3 linked regions of the Callithrix jacchus genome follow. The protein of the gene in region 2 binds, or shares a complex with, the protein of the main gene of each other region. Links are inferred from orthologs where the notes say so. Each region holds a gene or a part of one and is shown on either strand. Other genes may lie near its edges. The genes, in order: FGFR3, FGF23 and FGFR4.

Region 1 (3,040 bases), on a different chromosome or scaffold from region 2:
GCTTCTGCAGCCCGTGTGTCTGTGTGTCCGTCTCCTCCACCCGCACCCGCCCGGCCCTGCGCTTACCCGCATGCTGCCTGCCTGCCCGCCTGTCGCTCACCTGGGACAGAGGACTCGCCGGTGGAGGGGCCTGGCTTCGGACTCGGGTGCCGGTGACCCGGCGGAGGGCCGCACGGGGCGGCCGACTCGGCCTCGAGGAGTTGGTGGTGGCGGCGTTCTCCTTGCAGTGGCTGGATGCTGCCGTGTGGACTCTGCGGTGCCTGCAGGCCGGTGCTGGCTCTCTCCTATCGCTCTGCTCTCTCTTTGTAGACGGCGGGGGCTAATACCACCGACAAGGAGCTAGAGGTTCTGTCCTTGCAGAACGTCACCTTCGAAGACGCCGGGGAGTACACCTGCCTGGCGGGCAATTCTATTGGCTTTTCCCATCACTCTGCGTGGCTGGTGGTGCTGCCAGGTACCGGCTTCTGCGGCTGCTGCCCCGCACTGTCGGGGACGCTGGCTTGGGACACGCCAGAGCCTCCAGGACGGAAGGGAACCCTGTGGCTTATGGCCGCCCCACTCCTCGATCCCTCACACCTGGCCCTGTGCCCAGTGTGAGGACAAAGTTGGCCCAGCCAGGCCCAGACCTGGTCCTAGAGGGGCCCCATCAGCCCCTTTGAGCCCCCTTCCCATCCGGGTCCCCAAAGGCCCCTCCTGTGGCTCTGGTGTCTCCTGGGTGCCTGGTGGCGGTGTGGGGCTGGCTGGCTCTGCTGGGCACCTCCTCTCCAGGGTCTGGCCCTCCTGACTCATCGGTGTTTCTGACCACAGGACCCCCCCCAGACAACGGGGATGCTGGGGTTCTGAGCCCCCTCCCGCTCCCAGTGCTGCCTGTGGCTCTGGGCCAGGGGCACCCATGGGGCTCGGGGGGGGCCAGGCCAGGCCCCAACGCGTGTGTCTTTGCAGCTGAGGAGGAGCTGGCGGAGGCCGACGAGGCGGGCAGTGTGTACGCAGGCATCCTCAGCTATGGGGTGGGCTTCTTCCTGTTCATCCTGGTGGTGGCAGCCGTGACGCTCTGCCGCCTGCGCAGTCCCCCCAAGAAAGGCCTGGGCTCCCCCACCGTCCACAAGATCTCCCGCTTCCCGCTCAAGCGACAGGTAACAGAAAGTAGATACCAGGTTCTGAGCTGCCTGCCCGCCTGGCCTCTGGAGCCCCCTTGGCCTCTGTTGGCCTTGGGCTGTGCAGCACCCTCTGCAGCCAGGAGGGCTCACCTCCCCTTGTCTCTGGTCACCACGTAGAGCCCAGGGTACTCTGGGGCACAAAACGTTCTAATGGTCTTTGTTCAGCGCTGGTGGAAGTCAGAGCGCCCCCCTTCCAGCCCACAGCGACCCCCGGCTGCACCCCCACGCCCTGTCCTCCACGCGGCGCCAACCTGCCCCTGCCGACCCAAGCAGGTGTCCCTGGAGTCCAACGCGTCCATGAGCTCCAACACGCCGCTGGTGCGGATCGCAAGGCTGTCCTCGGGGGAGGGCCCAGCGCTGGCCAACGTCTCTGAGCTTGAGCTGCCCGCCGACCCCAAATGGGAGCTGTCCCGGGCCCGGTCAGTGGCGCTGAGGGCCAGCGTGGGCTGTAGGGGGCTCAGTGGTGGGGGTGAAACACCAGGCAGAGGACCCGCCGGGTTCGGGGCCATCAAGGACGTGGAGGATGTTGGAGCTGTTCCTCTCTCTGGAGATGCTCCTGGGAGGGGTTCATGGCAGGGACTGCCCCTCTCAAGGTGCCCTGTCTGGAGAGGCAGCAGGGGCAGAAGGCCGGTGGGTGACAGTCTTCATCCTCATGAGCAGGCTGCAGGATGAGCATGGAGGGCTTCCTGGAAGTGGGGGCTCTGGGCCTTAAGGGCTGGGCCCGGCTGGGGTGGGGATTGTGGCAGGCTGCGAGTGGGCGAGCTTGTATGCTCATGGGTCTCTCTGCCTCTGCTGCCAGGCTGACCCTGGGCAAGCCCCTCGGGGAGGGCTGCTTTGGCCAGGTGGTCATGGCGGAGGCCATCGGCATCGACAAGGACCGGGCTGCCAAACCCGTCACTGTGGCTGTGAAGATGCTGAAAGGTGAGGAGAGGGCGGCCAGGGGTGCAGGGCAGGGCTGGGGGCGCCACCACCTGACAAAGAGTCTCCCTCCTTGCCCAGACGATGCCACTGACAAGGACCTGTCGGACTTGGTGTCGGAGATGGAGATGATGAAGATGATTGGGAAGCACAAGAACATCATCAACCTGCTGGGCGCCTGCACGCAGGGCGGTAGGTGGGGCGCTGGCGGCTGCGGCGCAGGTCGGGCGGCCCTCCTGGGCCTGGCAGCCCCTCTGAGGAGCCCGTGCCCCCAGGGCCCCTGTACGTGCTGGTGGAGTACGCCGCCAAGGGCAACCTGCGGGAGTTCCTGCGGGCGCGGCGGCCCCCCGGCCTCGACTACGCCTTTGACACCTGCAAGCCGCCCGAGGAGCAACTCACCTTCAAGGACCTGGTGTCTTGTGCCTACCAGGTGGCCCGGGGCATGGAGTACCTGGCCTCCCAGAAGGTGAGCAGGGCAGCAGGTGTGGGTGGAGTGGGCACGGACGGCTCTGCCATCCTGGGAGCAATGGGAGAGGCGTCGAGGCTTCAGCCCTGCCCCCACCCCTTCCCAGTGCATCCACAGGGACCTGGCCGCCCGCAATGTGCTGGTGACCGAGGACAACGTGATGAAGATCGCCGACTTTGGACTGGCCCGAGACGTGCACAACCTCGACTACTACAAGAAGACCACCAACGTGAGCCTGGCCTGTGGGGTGGGGCGGGGCGTGCTGGGGGCGCCTCGTGCCAACACTGCCTTCCCACCTCTTCCAGGGCCGGCTGCCCGTGAAGTGGATGGCACCTGAGGCCCTGTTTGACCGCGTCTACACCCACCAGAGTGACGTGTATGTGTCCTGCGGACCCCGGCCTCGGGTGGAGGCGGTAACTGGGCAGAACTGGGACCCAGCTTCAGCCCATACCTGTGCCCTGGGGCTCTTGGGCCTGGTCTCTTACCCCTCCGGGGGCAG
Region 2 (3,644 bases):
TCATGATCCGCCCACCTCAGCTTCCCAAAGTGCTGGGATTACAGGTGTGAGCCACTGCACCTGGCCTATCTCAGCATAGATTTAAAAATCACAAAGTAGAAGGCATGAAACAATGTAACTATCAGCACAAACATTCAAAGGTATTAGCAAGTCAAAGGAGAAAATAAAGACAGTCCAGGTAGAGAGAGAGAAACATGTGTTCAGCACTTGTAGACGAATGTCAGGAGTTCAGAGTGCCCCATACAGGCAACAAGATGAAGCAGGAGGTGAATGACTACACATGTGCTGGGGTTAAGAGAGGATGTCAGAAGAAAGGAAGACTATGTAGAAATGAGGCTGAATTTAAGGGTGTTGAAGTCATCACCACCCTTAAAATCAATCCAGGAGGTTTCATGAAGGTGGGTTTTCAGGAGGTACTTGAAGGTGGAAATTGGATGTGCTATGAATCTTTGTCCCGCATGGTTTTCTCCGTAGGTGCCCTGCTGATCAGATCAGAGGATGCTGGCTTTGTGGTGATTACAGGTGTGATGAGCAGAAGATACCTCTGCATGGATTTCAGAGGCAACATTTTTGGATCAGTGAGTTTCTTTTTGTGTTGGTTGCCATTTGCAAAGAATTATCTAATTTTTTGACAGGACATAGACTTTTCTAGCTTAACAATTCCATTTGCAGTGTACCCTGGTGACCCGTTTCCGCTGAGTACTTCATGCAGTCTAAGTACTGAATGCTCAGGTTTAATAGCTGGGGTTTGAACTTAGGCAGTCAGGCTCTAGATCCCAGGCTCTCAGCTCCGAGTCTGCACTGCCCATTCACAACCATTCTTGGATCTAGCACAGGCACTGGGATGCAGTCATAGGTCCTCAAGTCATGTCAATTCACATTGTAAAGTACATTAGAAAGAGTGAAAAGCCATTGGTGTCCTCTTGATTCTGGGACTAGCTGTGACTTTAGCTAAATCTCCTCACTCCAAACTTCAGCATTTTCACTTGGAAAAAGTGGAGTGGAATAGACCACATGACCTGTGGAGCTCCCTCCAGTTGAAGATCTTTAATGAATTACCCCTGCCCCAATTGTGATAGCTATTCACTGGGATTGGTGAGCAAAGGATTTCCCAAACTAAAGGCCACTGGCTTCTTTTTGAGGATTTTGAGGTAGTAAAATAGTAGGACTGCTTCTCTCAGGAGTCTCTTGCTACCAGTCATACCCACCAGAAACTCCGCAGGAACAGAGGCTTCTGTTTTGCTTTCTGCTGCATCCCAGCCCCTACAGCCGTGTCTGGCTAGAGTAGGGTCAAAAAAAATCTGTTGAACAACTATTGAAATACAGGTAACTAACTAAAATCTGTTGAACCCGTCTAGGCGTGTAGATAGTCCCGGTCTGTAAACTGCTTACTATGCGGAGTTTGGGGATTATAAGAAATAACATGCAAAGGCCTTGGTGGGGGCACTCAGTAAAACCCAGGGCTAGTGGTAGGGGATTCAAACTCAGCTCCTCTGTCGGCAGAGTTCATGTCTCCAATCCCTATACCGTATCATCTCTCTGACGTCAATGTCCTCATTCATGTTTGACCTTCCTTTCTCCAGTAAGGAGACAAAGCCAAGACAACTTTCAGCCAGCAGAGGCTTGAAAAAGGTAGAGGGCGGGACGGACGAGGTGGTGCCTACTCCAGGAAAACCACAGGCCAGGCCAGCCCGGGCCTCCAGGCAGTGGGCGCAGACCCCAGTGGTCTCTCAAGTGGGGAGCCATCCTGCTTGGCATAGTCAAAACCACCTTACCCTAGCAGGGAACCATGGAATGAAGGCCCAACGCCCCAGGCACTGCAGGGCTTCAGGCTGGCGGGCAGGAGCACGTGGCCCCAGAAGGAGCTGGGGGATGGGGGGCCCCCGCCGGCCCATCTTCACGAGGTTCACTCTTGCCGTTCCAGCACTATTTCAACCCGGAGAACTGCAGGTTCCGACCCCAGAGGCTGGAGAACGGGTACGACGTCTACCAGTCTCCTCAGCATCACTTCCTGGTCAGTCTGGGCCGGGCGAAGAGGGCCTTCCTGCCAGGCATGAACCCACCCCCGTACTCCCAGTTCCTGTCCCGGAGGAACGAGATCCCCCTCATTCACTTCAACACCCCCAAACCGCGGCGGCACACCCGGAGCGCCGAGGACGACCCGGAGCTAGACCCCCTGAACGTGCTGAAGTCCCGGGTCCGGATGACCCCGGCCCCGGCCTCCTGCTCGCAGGAGCTCCTGAGCGCCGAGGACAACAGCCCGGTGGGCAGCGACCCCTTAGGGATGGTCCGGGGTGGTCGGGTGAACAGCCACGCTGAGGGAACAGGCCCAGAAGGCTGCAGCCCCTTCCCCAAGCTCATCTAGGCCGCTGGAAGGGCACCCTCTTTAACCCATCCTTCAGCAAACGCAGCTCTTCCCAAGGACCAGCTCCCTTGCCGTTTCGAGGCTGGGAAAGGTGACGGGGGTCAGGTATGGAATTGGCGGCTTCTCTGGGGCCCCTTCCCCAGGAGGTCCTATGAGAATCGACCTTTGACGCTCAAGTCATGGGGTTTCACCGCCTTCCTCACTCCACATAGAGCATCTTTCTGAATAGGAAACCCCAACAGGTAAACCAGAAATTTCTCCTTCCTAGAGGTAGAGAAAAAGGGTCTCTCCCCGACATATTTCTCTTCCTTGGGCCTCTCTTCTTTATCACCTTTAAGCATTAAAAAAAAAAAAAAAAAAAAAAAAAAAAAAAGCAGTGGGTTACTGAGCTCACAACTTTGAAGGTGTAGGGAAGAGGAGCTCCGGAGATCCCAGAAGCCTCCCCACTGCCCTGTGTGTTTTTTATGTTACATGCCGCGATCCCACTGGCATTTGAGTGTGCAGACCTTGACATTGACAGCTGAATGGGGCAAGTTGATGAAAACTACTTCCAAGCCTCCATTCCTCCTTGAACATCTCTGGAGAAGAGCTGTCAAAACACCACTGGCAGGCTGGTGAAAACTTGACGACTAGACTTGATGCTTGCTGAACTGAGGCATGAATCATAATAGAAAACACAGCCTCCCCGCAGGGTGGGCACCCTGTGTCTCGCTGTCTCCCTCTCTGCAGCCACAGGCAGAGGGCCCAGAACGGCCCCACTCTGTTCCCAAGTGGCTCATGATACAGCCTCACCTCTTAGCCCCATCTCCGGTTTTTGAAAATTTGGTCTTAGGAATCGCTTTTATATTGGCTCATGAAAATCTACCCTGCTAGATTCCGTATTTTCAAAATGGAAATAAATTCCAACTCTCCTAAGAGGCATTTAATTAAGGCTGTACTTCCAGGTTGAGTAGTAATCCATTCCGAACAAACAATAACAAGGTGACCGAGAAGGGGGCCTTGAGACATGGGGACCGCTCTGGGTTAGGTTTTCTGTGGACTGAAAAATCATCTCCTTTTCTCTAAGTGAAGTGGCATCAAGGACTCAAGGGGAAAGAAATCCAATAACCAGGGGACATGTTACAGAAGTTACCAAAAGGCAACCACATGGTCGGGATCGTGGCTGTGGTCTCTAGGTCTCTGCGGCAGCACTGGCTCTCGGGACAGTGAAAACACTCCTAGGCTGACACATCTGGGTCTCAATCCCCTTGGAAATTCTTGGTGTCTTAAACGAAGACAG
Region 3 (3,744 bases), on a different chromosome or scaffold from region 2:
CTCAAGCAATCCTCCAGCCTCAGCCTCCCGCGTAGCGGGGACCACAGGTGCCCCTATCCCACTTCCTTCCTTCTCAAGATGCCTTAAGAGAAGCATAGGGCTTGAGATTCAGGTGAGAAATGGGCAGAGATCAGAGGCTGCCTGGCTCCAAATTTAGTCCCAGTCTAGATGCTCAGGAGAGAAGTCAGCCGGGTAGGCATGGAACTAACTGGGAGCACCTACTGTATGCCAGACACTGGAACTATACTGGTGAGGTCTGCAGGCACAGTTCCTCTATTGAAAAATAGAGACAGGGCAACTATGTCACCAGGGCTGGTCTCAAACTCCTGAATTCAAGGGATCCTCCTACCTGAGCCTCCTAGTAGCTAGCACTACAGGCACCCGTCATGTGCCCAACCATTCCACAGCTATTTACATAATTCACTGTTCAGTTACAATTCTTGCAAGTGATGAAGAAATAACAGGTCCTAAATAATTACAGCTAATATTACAAAGCAAGCAGAGCATGCCAGGCTTACACATACTGCTGACATGTCACTTTTTTCAATAACCTCTTGAAGGTGATCCTATCGTTTGCCTGTTTTACTGAAAAGACAGTGAAGACCAAGGCCTTGTGTGATGGTGCTGAGATTTGAGCCTATGATGTCCAGCCCTGCAATCTGTGCTGTGAACCACTTCACTCTGTTTTCTTTCTCCATCCTCACAGTGGAGAAGTCATCTCAGGGGAGCCTGCAAGTTCAGAGGGCTTCCTGGAGGAAGTGAACTGAGAATAATATGAAATTAACCATACCAGGAAGAGGAAATGGTACGTGAAACTGCACAGGGGTTGTAAAGTAGGAGCCAGGAGACTTGGGTCATGGCAATAATCTATGTATAAAGAGCTATGGGAAGCTATAGGAAAAGTTAAGGGAGTGGTTGACACAAATCAGATTTGTGTTCTAAGTATCACACCGAAGGTTGCGCAGAAGACGGGGAAGCCTGGCATTCCCTGAGGGATGAAGAGCAAGGAGCAGAGCTGGGTAGTGGACTAGAATTTGGAAGCCTGGCCTGGGGCCTGGGTAGGGCAAAAGAGGCGGAGCCTGAATGGAGCGTTTGTAGGGGGTGTGCATAGGCTGGGGCGGGGTCCCGGGAGTGGGCTGACCGGGTCGGGGGCGGGGCTCTGGGCCACCCCTGGCGGCGCCTCGCTCCGGCTCGAGCTGATCCAGGCGGGACGGGCCCGATGGGGGCGTGGCAGGAGGTGGGCGGGGAACCAGGGGCGGGCCCGAGGGGCGGGGCAGGAGGTGGGCCGCCCGCGGCCACGCCGCCGTCGCGGGTACATTCCTGGATCCTGGCGGAGGAGCGCTCAGGCTGTCTGCGGACCCTGCCGGGTGCAGGGGTCGCGGCGGGCTGAAGCTAGGAGTGAGGCGGCGGAGGAGCCAGGTAAGCTGGACCCTTTGCCGGGCGTGGAGTCACGCTGCCTCGAGGTGAGCCGGAACCCTTGCGAGCCCGGGCTGCGCTCCCAGCCGCCAGGGGGCGAGCGGCGGCAGGGCTGCGGGGACTGCCCCTCCCGGCGCTGGGGACCTGGGAGTCCGCCGGGCGGCAGGAGGTGGAGGGGGCGGTAAATCAGTAACCCGCAGCGCACACAGGGCCTTTTGTCCCGTTCTGTCCAAAGAGCACCGAGGCCGCGGAGCTGGTTACTCATTGCCCACCGAGGCGGGGGCGGGCAGGCCCTGTGCAGCTACCCTCGGGATCCGCTGATTTGCACCTCCCCCAAGGCTGACCCGGCAGGGGTAGGGGAAGACGAGCGCGCTTGTCCCTCGGCCGCTAGGTGTCTTCGAGCCCGCGCAGAGATGAGGGAGCCAAGGCCCCGAAAGCTTCAGTTACTTACTGCCCGGGAGCCTCCAGCGCATGTGCAGGAGGCTGGATGAGAAGCCAGAACTGTCTGATGCCTAAGGCTGGCCCTCCGTTCCCACGTGCCGGGTGTTCGGTCAGCGGTCAGCAGCCACGGGTGACTCGACTAAGAACTCGGACGTCAGGGCAGCCTGGGTGGGAATACAACTCCTGGGCCTCACCACCCACTCCCAACCCAAGCTGTGTACCCAAAGAGCTGCCCTCCCTGCCAAGCCAAGCTTTGTAGGGAGTTTTACCAAGGAGCTGATTGGATGGATTTGGGAGTTGAGGTGGGCTCAGAGACAGAAGTATCTTGAGGCAGGTAGAGAAGAGGAATGAGGGGCACAGAGGGATGGGCAAGAGAGCACATGTGCCCAGTTTGGAAAGCCAGTGGTTTCAGGGCTCCTGAAGGGGCAGACCATGTGACTAAAGAGATAGGCAGTGGTAGAGAGGGAAGCTTAGGATGTTGAGCTGGATCCTGCTGGGAACAGGTAGCCATTAAGGGCTTGCAATCTGGGGGCACAACATGGCAGACTTGAAGTTTTTTAAAACCCTGCTGGAAGATGAAGGTTGAAGAGCCCCGGGAGAGGATGTTTCCAAAGGCCCATGCAAGAGATGACCATGACCTGCCCTGAGTAGGGGCAGGGGAAGCCAGATGGACTGGATGTGGGGTGGCAGTGACCAAGGAGAAGGAGGTGTAATGGGCTTCCCACACAGGGTAAATCCAGAGAGGCTGGTGCCACCTGTAGCCCCCTAGGACTACAGTGGTCACCATATTCCTTTGTCTCAGCTGAGACTCAGTTCTGAGCATTCCATTTTGGGGAACAAAAGTGTCCTTCGTAGCATCTGGAAAAGGATAGCCGGCTGGGGTATGTGTACATCACAGCCTGACAGGAACAGCGCCCGAACCAGAGGCGACTGGCTGAGGGCAGAGCCAGGGCAATAGGTGAACAGTTCTAGAGCCAGGCATAGGGAGGAGAACATTCCAACACTCTGTGTGCCCAGTTCCAACACACATTATCTTATGTCTTTTATCCTCAAAGCATTCCTATGAGGATAGTAGCCCAGAGAGGGATGGAGGCAAGGAGTTACAAGTTGGTAAGAGTCAGGATTTGAACTTGGCTCCAGTGGATGGATAATTAGGGTCTATATTCTTTACAAAACCATGCATGCCTCAGATGGAGTTGGGGCATAACAAGCAGGGGTATCCAGGGATGTGGTCCTGCTTGCCACAGAAGGCACTGCCTTGTGAGCACCCAGCCCTGGAAATGTCAGTAATGCTGTAAGGAGCAGGGATCAGATCAGATAACATCCAGATGCTGAAGTTTGGCATTGTATTATTTTTCACTTTCTTTTTTGGCTCTTTGGCCATCAGTTCATTTATTCAGCAAGAAATAAAGTATGTGTGCCAAGAGCATGCAGAAGATAAGTCTCCATTCTCTACTTCCCTCTGAGAAAAGAATCCCAAAACTGCTTTCTGTGAACATGTGCCAGGGTCCCAGCAGGACTCAAGGAGAGCAGGAAGCCCAGCCCAGCCCGCTTGCACAACCTACTGTGGGGAGGCCTTGGGCTCTGGCCACAGCAGAGCTGGTTCCAGTCTGCACTGCCACAGCCTGGCCCGGGACTTGGACACATCTGCTGACCACTTCCTGTCTTGGTTTCCTCGTCTGCAAAATAAAGGAAAAGCACCCGCAAAGGTGCACGTGTAGCAGCAGCTCTTTTCCCTCCCTCCCTCCCTGTTTTAGGAAGGCAGTTGTTGGGAAGTCCAGCCTGGGTCCCTGAGAGCTGTGGGAAGGAGATGCAGCTGCTGTTGGCCCTGTTGGGATTCCTGCTGAGTGTGCCTGTGCCTCCAGCCTTGTCCCTGGAGGCCTCTGA

What was found.
Region 1: the proteins of FGF23 (region 2) and FGFR3 are in contact, whole or in part, in a cryo-EM structure (PDB 7YSU), measured with the Homo sapiens proteins. The link is inferred for Callithrix jacchus from reciprocal best matches to the Homo sapiens genes FGF23 and FGFR3. Residues at the interface, in NP_065689.1 of Homo sapiens: Ser29, Leu32, Gly33, Ser34, Trp36, Tyr43, Ala45, Ala47, Arg48, Asn49, Ser50, His52, Ile75, Arg76, Ser77, Glu78, Asp79, Ala80, Gly81, Val83, Val84, His117, Gln118, Thr119, Asn122, Gly123, Tyr124, Asp125, Leu158, Ser159; in NP_000133.1 of Homo sapiens: Glu157, Arg158, Asp160, Lys161, Leu163, Leu164, Ala165, Val166, Pro167, Arg223, Asp244, Leu246, Glu247, Arg248, Ser249, Pro250, Val277, Tyr278, Ser279, Asp280, Ala281, Gln282, Pro283, His284, Ala312, Gly313, Ala314, Thr316, Thr317, Asp318.
Region 3: the proteins of FGF23 (region 2) and FGFR4 are in contact, whole or in part, in a cryo-EM structure (PDB 7YSW), measured with the Homo sapiens proteins. The link is inferred for Callithrix jacchus from reciprocal best matches to the Homo sapiens genes FGF23 and FGFR4. Residues at the interface, in NP_065689.1 of Homo sapiens: Leu32, Gly33, Ser35, Trp36, Gly37, Tyr43, Ala45, Thr46, Ala47, Arg48, Asn49, Ser50, Ile75, Arg76, Ser77, Glu78, Asp79, Ala80, Gly81, Val83, Val84, Tyr93, His117, Gln118, Thr119, Asn122, Gly123, Tyr124, Asp125, Leu158; in NP_001341913.1 of Homo sapiens: Glu156, Lys157, Lys158, Leu159, His160, Ala161, Val162, Pro163, Asn166, Asp240, Leu242, Glu243, Arg244, Ser245, Pro246, Lys272, Val273, Tyr274, Ser275, Asp276, Ala277, Gln278, Pro279, His280, Ala308, Asp309, Ile310, Ser312, Gly336, Asn337.

The regions. Positions count from the first base shown.
Region 1 is NC_133504.1:191,347,174-191,350,213, reverse strand, and holds part of FGFR3 (fibroblast growth factor receptor 3), read left to right. Parts: intron 1-309; coding exon of another isoform or gene 310-454; intron 455-942; coding exon 943-1,133; intron 1,134-1,322; coding exon 1,323-1,576; intron 1,577-1,956; coding exon 1,957-2,078; intron 2,079-2,156; coding exon 2,157-2,267; intron 2,268-2,350; coding exon 2,351-2,541; intron 2,542-2,647; coding exon 2,648-2,770; intron 2,771-2,846; coding exon 2,847-2,917; intron 2,918-3,040.
Region 2 is NC_133510.1:17,759,685-17,763,328, reverse strand, and holds part of FGF23 (fibroblast growth factor 23), read left to right. Parts: intron 1-474; coding exon 475-578; intron 579-1,924; coding exon 1,925-2,365; 3' UTR 2,366-3,644. UniProt on the Homo sapiens protein: Regulator of phosphate homeostasis. Inhibits renal tubular phosphate transport by reducing SLC34A1 levels. Up-regulates EGR1 expression in the presence of KL. Acts directly on the parathyroid to decrease PTH secretion. Regulator of vitamin-D metabolism.
Region 3 is NC_133503.1:69,055,441-69,059,184, reverse strand, and holds the start of FGFR4 (fibroblast growth factor receptor 4), read left to right. Parts: upstream 1-1,344; 5' UTR 1,345-1,419; intron 1,420-1,807; 5' UTR 1,808-1,987; exon of another isoform or gene 1,988-2,025; intron 2,026-3,614; 5' UTR 3,615-3,667; coding exon 3,668-3,744. UniProt on the Homo sapiens protein: Tyrosine-protein kinase that acts as a cell-surface receptor for fibroblast growth factors and plays a role in the regulation of cell proliferation, differentiation and migration, and in regulation of lipid metabolism, bile acid biosynthesis, glucose uptake, vitamin D metabolism and phosphate homeostasis.